Neurospora crassa OR74A: one gene and its partners. The protein of the gene in region 2 interacts with the protein of the main gene of each other region in a biochemical or structural test. Links are inferred from orthologs where the notes say so. Each region holds a gene or a part of one and is shown on either strand. Other genes may lie near its edges.

What was found.
Region 1: the proteins of NCU07438 (region 2) and arp-3 form a complex in vitro, tested with the Saccharomyces cerevisiae proteins (4 studies listed by BioGRID, with this or other methods). The link is inferred for Neurospora crassa OR74A from reciprocal best matches to the Saccharomyces cerevisiae genes LAS17 and ARP3.
Region 3: the proteins of NCU07438 (region 2) and NCU02781 form a complex in vitro, tested with the Saccharomyces cerevisiae proteins (2 studies listed by BioGRID). The link is inferred for Neurospora crassa OR74A from reciprocal best matches to the Saccharomyces cerevisiae genes LAS17 and ARC40.

The regions. Positions count from the first base shown.
Region 1 is NC_026502.1:2,534,944-2,538,627, reverse strand, and holds arp-3 (actin), read right to left. Parts: upstream 2,602-3,684; 5' UTR 2,410-2,601; coding exon 2,375-2,409; intron 2,292-2,374; coding exon 2,269-2,291; intron 2,202-2,268; coding exon 1,974-2,201; intron 1,925-1,973; coding exon 1,878-1,924; intron 1,821-1,877; coding exon 1,734-1,820; intron 1,672-1,733; coding exon 838-1,671; intron 782-837; coding exon 716-781; 3' UTR 554-715; downstream 1-553. Other genes in the region: NCU01757 (asparaginase), read left to right, coding at 3,614-3,684. UniProt on the Saccharomyces cerevisiae protein: Functions as ATP-binding component of the Arp2/3 complex which is involved in regulation of actin polymerization and together with an activating nucleation-promoting factor (NPF) mediates the formation of branched actin networks.
Region 2 is NC_026501.1:625,301-629,049, forward strand, and holds the start of NCU07438 (WASP-like protein las17p), read left to right. Parts: upstream 1-1,051; 5' UTR 1,052-1,273; intron 1,274-1,452; 5' UTR 1,453-1,852; coding exon 1,853-2,062; intron 2,063-2,118; coding exon 2,119-3,749. Other genes in the region: NCU07439 (hypothetical protein), read left to right, coding at 72-143, 226-387.
Region 3 is NC_026501.1:9,216,095-9,219,843, reverse strand, and holds NCU02781 (hypothetical protein), read left to right. Parts: upstream 1-1,535; 5' UTR 1,536-1,759; coding exon 1,760-1,982; intron 1,983-2,065; coding exon 2,066-2,908; intron 2,909-2,975; coding exon 2,976-3,016; 3' UTR 3,017-3,307; downstream 3,308-3,749. Other genes in the region: NCU02779 (hypothetical protein), read left to right, coding at 1-128; NCU02780 (U2 small nuclear ribonucleoprotein B), read right to left, coding at 307-618, 683-967. UniProt on the Saccharomyces cerevisiae protein: Functions as a component of the Arp2/3 complex which is involved in regulation of actin polymerization and together with an activating nucleation-promoting factor (NPF) mediates the formation of branched actin networks.

The DNA of each region.
Region 1 (3,684 bases), on a different chromosome or scaffold from region 2:
CGAAGCTTCTTCCCCGCATTCTTGTCGTACTACCTACCCTACCTACCCATACCTATGGTACCGACCTCTATGAAGGCATGCAGAAAGTTGCATAACCTTTTGCTCCTTGCCCGGCGCAAAGTAAGCAATCTGATCACTGAACCCTCCAAACTGTGAATGCTCTCTGGGAACACGGTCGGTTTACTGTGAGGTGACGTCCGAGCATGTCAGGCAACATCTTTCAACATGACAATCGAGCCCAGTCCTGATTAGAATCTAATCAATGGGCTGAGAATAGGAACAACATTGAAAAAATGAAGAGAAAAATCAGCAAGTTGTGAAACTGATGCGAAGCTATCGGTTAGCTTGCCCGATGGGAGTTCGGCCAGTTCCAGAACTGTCGGGCCATATCAGGCCACCCGGCGCGAACCGGTGGTCGTGGTGCTGACACATCCTTGCTTACCGAGAGTTACAGTGAATGCCGTCAATGGCTTGGCACGCCGCCTCCGGAACCAGCCGATCGGTACCATTAAGCCCCCCTTTTAAGGGGACCGTTGCTCTGCGCAACGGATTCCTAAACATCAACACAACAACAGACACATTGGCCGTCTACGCTGACCCAACTTCACTAGCATTAAGTAGTTCCTCTTTTCTATTCATCGCCATTATATAAGCATCGGCGCCCGCTGCCTGCCAAATAAGATGCGGACTCGCTCCTGTACACAAATAACTACGCTTAAGATCCACCAGGTCCTCCGAGCAGAGCGAACCTGCGCACGATGCTGGGTCCATATTCTTGGTACTGTAAAGATCCGTCAGCAACCAGACTGCCAATGGTAAAAGGGTAAAGAAACATACCTCTGCCTTGGTGTGGCAGTACGACCGGAACTCGGGCGTCTGACCGAGCAAGCTACCACCAAACCACGGGCCGTGCCGTTGCCTTTTGTGGGTGATAACCTGGACATCAAGACCACCGCTCTTTGCTCCACCGCTGCGCACCTCGCTGGCCTTGATTCGCGTATCGACAAGCTGCTTGATATCGCGCTGTAGCCTGCGACCAAAGTCCTTGTAGAGCGTGCTGCCACCCGAAAGAACAATGTTCTTGTAGAGACCACGACGGACATCGATGGGCGAAGACTGAATGACACCATCAACAACCACGGGCAGGGGCGTAAGGAAATCGGACGAGTAAATCTCGGGGTTGAAGAAGATTTCGGGCGCCATGAAACGCTCGTAGCCAACATCAACCGTAACTTGGCGGCCACCGGGCTGGGTAATGGTGTGCTTCAGGAATCGGCTGCGATCGCGGTCGTACTTGGCAAACTCCTTGACAATATCCGGACAGACGTAGCAGTACTCCTCCTTGATCTCCTGGGCCGTCTTGAGGGACGAATCGGGCTCGCCGCGGTCACGGAGAAGCGACTGGACAAAGTAGGTGATATCGCGACCGGCAATAGGGATCGACTTGATGGACGAGCCGATAACGTAACCTTCGGCGACCGGGATAACGTGTGTCACACCATCACCCGAATCAATGACAGTACCGGTCAAGGATCTGTCCTGGACCTTGGATGATGTCCAGGAAGCCGCAAGGGCCAGAACGGCCTGGACGGCAATGTAGAGACCGGCGCAGTTGAAGGATTCGAAGAAGATCTCGGCGGTGTTTTCGCGGTTCTCGGGAGGGTTGAGAGGCTGAATCGACGTGTCAGTGCTGCAGACGTAGTACTGATGTGGCTTGGAAAGTGTAGTCTTACGGGCTCAGTGAGGAGGAAGTGGTGGTCCTCAGGCTCTACTCTCAGATACTTGAAGATGGAGTTGGACCAGAACCTTTCCATGTGATCCTAAGCTCCAGTTAGCTCTAGGCATTTGTGACATGCCATCTAGCAGCCTGAACGCACCCAGTTCTCGATCTGTCCGTGTCTGATGGGATAGTGCAACCCGTAGCCTAACACCGTCAGCACCCATTTCCGTTGAGGCGGTGTAGACCAACGTACCAGGTCCATTGGCGGCCGCTACGGCCTCGTCGCCGATAAAGTAGTCGAGGTCTTCGGTTCCGCGCTTTGCTGAGAGATGGCCACCTGGACCCGCGCCGCCGGTGAGGAAGGATGGCTTGTTGGCTACGGCGGGGCGGCCAGAGCCCGAGCCGCCGGTGCCTGCCGAGGGGCTTTTGGTCGCGATGGCCGTCGGGAATACGAACGAGGGGGAATCATTGCCGGCGAAACCTGCAGACGACGAAGAGCTTGGTCAATCGGTGGTCATTGGATATCTTGGGGTGTCGGAGTCGCGAACCTAGCTTGGAGAACCCCGTGCCGCTGGTTAGGGGATGTTAGCGATGACGGCCCCGGAGCTGTTAAGGAGCGGGCGGGGTGGAGACGGGACACTTGGATGCACGTACTTGTCCATGACAACGGCGGGGGTTGTGTTGGCCATTGTTGCGGTGGTGTGCTGCTACGCGCAGCTCGTGATGATTGCGGTTTGGTAAAGCAACGGCTGTTGTTAGTTGGTGATGGATGAAGTGACGGGGCGGGAGCGTGGATGGGTAGTGGATAGGCCAGGCGGGAAATGGAGGTTGATGTCCAAGATTGTACGTGCCTGGCCGAGCTAGCTCTCCTTACTCGTCTGGCTGACAGCGCTGCGTGGTACTGTGGAGGTACCTGTGCGGCTGTGCGCCAAGACCGCGAGGTCCCCGTATGGTACGGCGGTCCATTTAGTCAGTTGTGCATTTCCAGCGACGGGACCTACGCCATAACTGGAGATGACGGAACCAAACACCTCGCTGCCACCTGCGCGCCATCCGAGCCCCCCGAAACCTAACCGATGCCCCGGTCCCAAGCATCGGAGTTTGAAGCACACGGCCCGGGCCCGGACGATGATGGCTAGGAAAAAGTGGGGCCGATCGGTATCAAAACTGTAGCGACAAGGCCAGCCAGACAGGATGTGTCCTTCTAAGAAGGAAGGAGATACTGAATGGAAAATCACCTCCAGCCAGATTCCCTCACACCTGCCATTTCTGTCGGATTCATTTCAGCTTCATCCTCTCGAAGCAAGTCCACTTTGCGGAGAAGCTACACACACTCACAGCTTCTCACTTATCACAACGAATCATCAACCTGTCCAGTGTCCACATTCCGTTTCGTCTCTCTCTCCGTCTCTCTCTCTCTGTCGTATTCTGTATTTTGCCACCTTTGCCTTCACACATCTTCATCCCGCCCACCTACTGTATCCAAAGGGACTCTTCACCCCTCGGGCCACCCTGAGTGCATCATCTAGCTCATTGGGCATCGCTCCAATCTCAAATACCCCTCAAGACATTATCACTACCGAGCATTATTCCCATTCATTGTTTTAGCAGGTTGCTTTTACGAGGGACACCAAGTCCGACCACCCTTTTCATCTCATCCACCCGTTCCGATCTTCTCCAACTCTTCGCCCTTGCCTCGATAAGTCTTTTCGCCCATCTTTGTCCCAAGGCACAAAAGTCACCCATGACACACCAAAACTAAGGACTCTATGTGCCCTCAGAATACAGACTCGCTTGAAAGACACATGCTCGATTACCAGACAACTCGACCTCGCCAGATCACACGCTGCTTCGACTATCTCCTCGAGTCGTTCTATCACAGCTGCGCCCACGATGAGCAGCAAAAATGCCGAGCCCGGCCATGGGTCACCTGAATCAGATATGGACATGTCGGACAGCTCCTC
Region 2 (3,749 bases):
CTCTCAGTTGTCTCACTACGACCCACTCCTCACGAACCATCAAGACAAGTCATAACATCAAGACCATCACAATGGCCGGCGGCGACGATCTCAGCAAGAAGGAAGTCAACATTCTTCCCCACGACACCCAGAAGGACGAGCAAGTACGTTACCATTTCCTCCCTAGTCTGGTGCCTTGTGTGAATCACAGAAAACAGAAAACTGACTCTTTGGCCAAACAAATAGAAGAACCCCAACAACCCCCTCAACAAGCTCGCTGATAGTGCCAAGGCCACGTTCGAGCAGGCGTCAAAGGCCATGCCCGGTCCCGCCATCTCGCAGAACATCGGCGGCGAGGAGGGCACCAAGGAGGAGCGCAGGGCCAAGGCCGAGACGCTCAACAAGTAAAGATATGGACTCGGACAAACAGGGGAATGGATGGAATGATTGCAATGACTGAATGATACACACACATACACATAACATAATTGAACTGTTTTGACAATTACTCTGATGGATCAGTCCTGTTGGAGCCTAAAGTGACTTTGGTGGTGGAATTGCGCCCAAATGAGAGGGGTCTGGTCCTCGAAAGTTGTCTCAAATGGGAGCAATGTTAGCATGTGAAGGTAGGTAGGTACTTTCATGTCATCCCATGTTCGTACATACCTACACTACTTTCATCCTATATCAACCTGAGCCATATAACCTCCAAATGCACATGGAAGTTGTTGTCATTGCCAGTTTCAACATGTCCCTCAAACACCCAGCTCTCGGAGGAACCGTCTCGTTGGACATCCATCATCACGGCGGGCAAGCGAAAGGTCGGCTGTGCAAGCGGCGGGCGGGAATAGTGGAGGGGTTCAGTTGAGGGATAGGTACCCACTGTTAGTGGACACGGACAATTGACGCCCTATCCACCCCCGGCACAATGTCATGACGCTATCTGGTTCATGTCCACAAGTTGGTCGCTTCCCGTCGGAAATTGGTCATTGTGGCTTGCTGGGGTTTCGTTGCCATCCTGATTCCATTCAGTCAAAGCCAAACAGCCCGGTCGTTGCCGCCGCCGTAGTGATGCAACTCCCAATCCCCGTACATAGTGTAGTTAAGTAGTGTACACTCACTGCATGCCTAAGGAACCTCTTGCCAGGTACACCCGCAATTCAACTTCCTTCTTGTCTACCTTGCAATGGGACTTGCTCCTCTCTCTGTAGTCTGTACAGCTTTAATACATTGAATTTTCACGGCAGATTATAACTAAGCTTGCCAACTGAAGGCTGCTGGATCATTGTCCGAGGTACGTTATTCCCAGCCTGCCGCCGTCTCTTCTACTCAGTATCTGCTTTTGCTCCTTTCAGTCATTGGACATCCGGGCGGCCGAGTCTTCCTTATTCCTCCCACCAACCACCAAACATCCGTGCCTCCAATACCCAGACCTACCTCTAGCTAACCGGCAACTTCCATTGTCTCTTCTAGGCTTCCGTCAACTGCTTTTATTCCTACGCGGCAAGGCCACGGAAGCGCGGAGCTTTACTTTATCTTGTACCGACAAGATACTTGGCCGTCGATAACAAGCGCCAACGACCCGAAAAGCATTAATACGACATCCCACTTCCGACTTGCTACCTCACCCTTCGGTCGACGTTGCCCCCCTCCCCTCGCCGACCGACCCGCCGACCGGATCAAGGCACGACGACTCAGCTTCATAACAGTACCTCTCGGCGCTGCGCCCGCCGGCCGAGTCCTTCTACCGAATTTCCGCATAACGACTCCCAATCTATCCATGCTTTGCTCCCCCTGGACGATCTAAAGGGGACGACAGGCCGCAACCTACCTCAAGCCACTTCCACGCTTCCACCCCCCATATATATTCACGATGCCGTCCATCCTCAGCGACGACGACAAGGAAACGGTCAAGCGCTGCGTGCCCAAGCAGACCAACAAGATCCACGCCGTCGCCGTCGCCAGGCTCTATGTAGCCTACCCCAACCCGTCCAGATGGACCTATACCGGCCTCCAGGGTGCCGTCGTTCTGGCAAATGATCTCGTGGGCAACACATATTGGATCAAGATGGTTGATATCTCGGTAAGTGTGAAAATGACGATTGCGTGGCTGGCCACCATTTGGCTGACATCGGACAGCCCGGAAACAGGGGAGTGATATGGGACCAGGAGATCTTCGACACTTGGAACTACAACCAGGACCGTGTCTTCTTCCATACCTTCGAGCTTGAGGAATGCCTGGCTGGCTTGTCCTTCGTGGACGAGAAGGAAGCCAAGCAGTTCCTCAAGAAGATGAACGACAGGGAAAAGAACGCCAGCAAGGCTACCAGCAAGACACCTTTCGGAGGCGCATCCCAGGCACACCACCACAAGCACCACGGTCTTTTCGGCGGTCTGTTTGGAGGACATAAGCACGCGTCTCCGACAGCCACCCCGCCCGAGTCGCCACGTGCCGCTGCACCGGCAGGCCGTATGAGAGCTGGAAGCACTAATGGAATAAACGGATACAAGCCTCCTTCCGAGTTTGCGACCCTGGATGCTTTCGATCCCCTGTGGAGGGAACACTTCGGTGACGACCTCAAGGCCCAAGGCCTCGACGACGACTTCATCCGCGAAAACCAGGACTTTATCATTGAGTTCTTGAAACAGGAGCAAGCGAAGCAGGGTATACACACGAGCACTCCTCCGCCGCCGCCGCCGCCGCCATCCGCTCCTCCTAATGGTCCCGCAATGAGAGCTCCCCCACCACCTCCTCCTGCTGCTGCTCCGCGCAGTGTCTCCGAGTCGATAACTCCATCGACCTCTAGGAGAGGGCCAGTACCCCCGCCTCCCCCTCCAGCAAGGAGATCCGGCAAGCTCGACACGGAAAACCACCAGGAACCGGCCCCTCCGCCGAGATTTGCTGTTCCTCCTCCCATCGCCGATGCTGGCAAGTTTGCCCACTCTGATCCCCCGCGACATACGCCCTCTGCGCCTGGACCTCCACCACCTCCCCGGCCGCCGAAGACGCCACTCGAAGATCAGGACCCGAGCCAGAGGTTCAGCGTTCCTCCGCCATTCACAGGCCAACGAAGTGTACCCCCGCCGCCTCCCAGCCGTAGCTCTGTTCCTCCGCCACCGCCCCCGAGAAATTCAGCTGCGCAACCTCCTCTGCCTCCCAAGGCACCGGGACCAGCACCTCCCCTCCCGCCTGCGAGCTCACGGCCGCCCCCCATGTTGCCAACTAGAAGCCCGGCACCACCGCAGGCACCGCCTCTCCCGACCTCGAACGCGCCACCTCCGCCGCCTTTACCGGCCACCCAGGCGCCTCCACCACCTCCCCTTCCCGCAACCAGCGCGCCTCCTCCGCCACCACCGGCACCGCCAGCACCTCCGGCGCCCCCTCTACCCGCAGCACATGCTCCCCCGCCGCCGCCTCCCATGCCACCCATGCCCGCACCATCAGGCGGCGCACCGCCTCCGCCTCCGCCTCCTCCACCGGGTGGTATGGGTGGTGTCCCTCCCCCTCCTCCTCCCCCTCCTCCAGGTGGTATGCCTCCACCGCCCGCCCCTGCCTTGCCACCTGTTGACGGCAGTCGTTCGGCCGTGTTGGACGGCATCAAGACCGCGGGAGGTATCAGGGCGTTGAAGAAGGTAGACAGAAGCCAGATTCGCGATCGTTCCGGTGCTGCTGTTCCTGGTGGCTCCGATAGTGGGCCCGCAAGCAGTGGATTGCCGCCCGCTGGAGCTGCGCCGGGTGGCGGTGGTGGAATGGCGGATGCGTTGGCGTT
Region 3 (3,749 bases), about 8.6 Mb from region 2:
GCGAGGCCATGTCGACCTTTGACAATGTCTCGATCGAGAACTACCTGATGGTTTGGCTTGGACTCGTCGGCGGCTGTGTCAGCCTTTGGGTCCCCAAGGAAATGGCCTTGGAGCCTTCCTCCGCCTAGAGGAAGTGGGAGTAGCGCGGTGTATGTTGTACATGCAGCTAGCGGTGCGTCTTCTGCATTGTCCTTCGAGAGGGCGAATTTTTCATCCATCCGCTTCATTGCGCCTTCATTTTTCGTCATCCTTCCCCACCGCGAGCTGGTATCTTAAACAAGAAGCAAATGCCATAGTGGACACCCATCAGTCCTCGTCGCTGTCTTCCTCCATAGCAACGTCCGAATCGCTCTCCTCCTCTTCTTCCTCCTCCTCCCGTGGCCGCTTCGTTCCCCGGTTCTCCTCTGCCGGTGTGGTTGTCTCCGTCCCGGGAGGCTTGGCTGGCGAACCTTGTGGTGCTGGACTCTCGGTATTCGTAGTAGGGGCGCCTGGTACTGGGGCACTAAAGATACTCTGTTGGACGGTGGTGAGGGCCACGGCGGCGGCGGCCTTGGGTGGCACGAGAGTACCGTCGAGTTTGGCGATGATGTTGGAGCGGCCCTTGGCGTAGGTGATTTTCTAGGCAAACCCAAGTTAGCATGTGAAGGGCTACCGCTGAAATATTCAACCCGAGAAGACCTACCATTTTGCGGCCCAAAAACTCCATGCCGTCAAGTGACCTCATGGCCTGTGTTGCTGTCTGAATGTCCCGGTAGACAATGTGTGCTTGCCCGCGCATCTTCATGGTCTTGAGAGCGACGACATCGAGGACGGGGCCGTAGGTGGAGAAGAGCATGTATAGTGCTGTACGGAGGTCGTCCTTCTGGATCTTAGCTGAGGGGAGGTTCGTGACGTAGAGAGTCTGGTTTGGCGGGTTCGAGACCACCTTTTGGGGGAGGCCCGCGGGGGGAGCAATACGCGTAGCCATTGCCGCGTAGGAATCCGGGAGTTGATGCTGTTGTTGTTTGTCCAATGCAGGTTGTTAATTGTCGCGTAGATTTTCAGTATATCGTAGGCGCCTCGTGGTAGGGGTTAATATCGTCAATTGTCTCGTCGTCGTCGTCGTCGTCGCTCGGGTGTATGATGTTCAGTGTTCAATCATGAATTCAAGTCGCGGCGGCGCATGCGATGTCGACAATTCAGATGCTGGTCCAAAAATTGGAGACAGTGGCCAGCCAGCCTACGAACCATCGAAATCGGTACACAAACCCCACGGGCGTGGGTGCAGCTTGTTGGAGGTACTGCGGTTGCGAGCAAAAGTAAAACCCCCTTGTCAGGTATCTTGCACGGACCACCACAGCCAGAGCTTCGTGAGCACTGTGTGGTCGACGACCTGATCCACGGGTTTAACTTACCCATCTCACCATAGTAGGTTCCAGTTCCAGGTGGGTCAGCCCCGGCCGGCAGCAGGGCACTCTTGGCGGCGTCACCCACCCGCAGCCAACCCCACCACCATACGCTGCCGCAACGGTGCCCCTGGAGCCTGGCGGTCTGACCTCATTTCAGGCGTCCAGCCCGCTGTAGTTACGGAGCTCTCCCGCTTCCCGTTCCCGGGCACAGCTTCCCCTTTCCAATTACAACATCCGGCTCCGACACCACCGAACCAAGACATTCGATCACACTCTCCGTCATCACCGTCCCCGATTCCGAGCGCGGTAGTAGAGAGCTATACTCCTATCGCATACCTTATTTCTACACAACACCAACCTAACAACCCACAATGGCTGCTCCCGAGGTCCACCATCTCTTCCACCACCCCATCGCCGACCACTCCTTCTCGGCCGATCGCCAGACCTTGGCCATTGCCCGCGACACCCAGGTCGAGCTCTACGGCAGAGTCGGCAATGCCTTCAAGCTCAAGGATGAGCTCAAGGGCCATGACAAGCTTGTCACCAGCGTCGACATTGCTCCCAACACCGGGCGTATTGTGACCTGCTCTCAGGGTAGGCCCCCCCTTTCGCAACCCAGGCACCCCATAATGCCACCATCACAGTCAGCTAGACTAACAACCAACCCCAACTCACAGACCGCAACGCCCTCGTCTGGGAACCCTCCCCCACCGGCTACAAGCCCACCCTCGTGCTCCTCCGTATTTCCCGCGCCGCCACCTTCGTCCGCTGGTCTCCCTCGGAAGCCAAGTTCGCCGTCGGCTCCGGCGACCGCGTCATCGCCATCTGCTACTTTGAGGAGGAAAACGACTGGTGGGTATCCAAGCACCTGAAGAAGCCGATCCGATCCACCATCACCTCTGTCGCCTGGCACCCCAACAGCGTTCTTCTTGCTGCCGGCTCCACCGACGCCCACGCCCGCGTCTTTTCCGCCTTCATCAAGGGCACCGACCAGCGCCCCGAGCCGAGCCCCTGGGGCGAGAGATTGCCTTTCAACACGGTCTGCGGCGAGTTCCTGAACAACTCTGCCGGATGGGTGCATTCTGTTGCCTTCAGCCCGAGCGGCGACGCTCTGGCGTTTGCGGCGCATGACTCCTCCATCACCGTCGTCTACCCCTCTGCGCCCGAGCAGCCGCCCAAGGCGGTGATCAGCATCAACACGCAGCTTTTGCCCTTTATGAGCCTCTTCTGGAACGGAGAGACTGAGATCATTGCTGCGGGTTACGATTGCGAGGCTTTCCGCTTCCAAGGCGGCGAGCAGGGGTGGCAGCTGGCCGGCACGCTGGAGAAGGCCAAGGCCGGAGGAAGACCGGGTCTTGGTGACGAGGACAGAGAGGAGTCTGCGCTGAACATGTTCAAGCAGATGGACCTGAAGGGTAAGGTCAGCAAGGATGATACCATGTTGAAGACGGTGCATCAGAATACGGTTACTATGTTGAGGCCCTTTGAGGAGAGTGGTGGACGGGTGACCAAGTTTAGTTGTGAGTGTTCCCCATTTTTACATGACCTGTGGTTTCAAGAATTATTGATGCTAACTTGACACAACAGCGAGCGGTGTTGACGGCAGAGTCGTCATCTGGCACACCTAGATTTCCCCTCGATGAAAGAGGGTTGCTGCACACATTGGGAAGCAGAAAAGCCAAGCAAGCAAGCGTAACATCTAATGTTAATGGAACAAGAGTGAATGGCTGATAATGAATCAGATTCAAAGTCAAGATCCATCAATGTCAGTTTAGCGGGTAACTTTCCCGGTCTTTGATTTCTGCCCTATCCGTGCTTCCCGGTATCCGCCAAAGTGATTGATTGTCCATTCACCCATTGTACAGAGACTTATCATGTCACTTCTCCACAGTGAGCTATCCGTTTGTCATGACCGCCCGGCCAATTTTGCAAGATATGTATGTGTGAATCAGACACACAGTCAAGAACAAATACAGGTTCAATACATACAAAGCAATTCATTGACTTCCGCTTGTGGCTTGCCGGACACATTCCGATTTGCCGTGATAACTTCCATAAAAGGATCATAAGAGAACTAATAACCGGCAGCAGGAGAAGTGCATGTCACAATTCATGTCCATACCTACCATTGTTTTGTCCCTGTCGATTATTTATTCCATATCCTTTCGCTCCTCATCCAGACCTTCAGCTTCAAAAGCAGTTTACCATAAGTAATCAGCCGTCCGTCACTCCGTCCCTTTCAGCTATCCAAACAAACTCAACTTACCTCGCTTTGCCTCCATCTTCCCTGCCTGCCTACTTCGTTGTCTGGTTAGAAGAAGAAACAGCGGGATCAGAAGAACCAAACAACAACAAACTGAA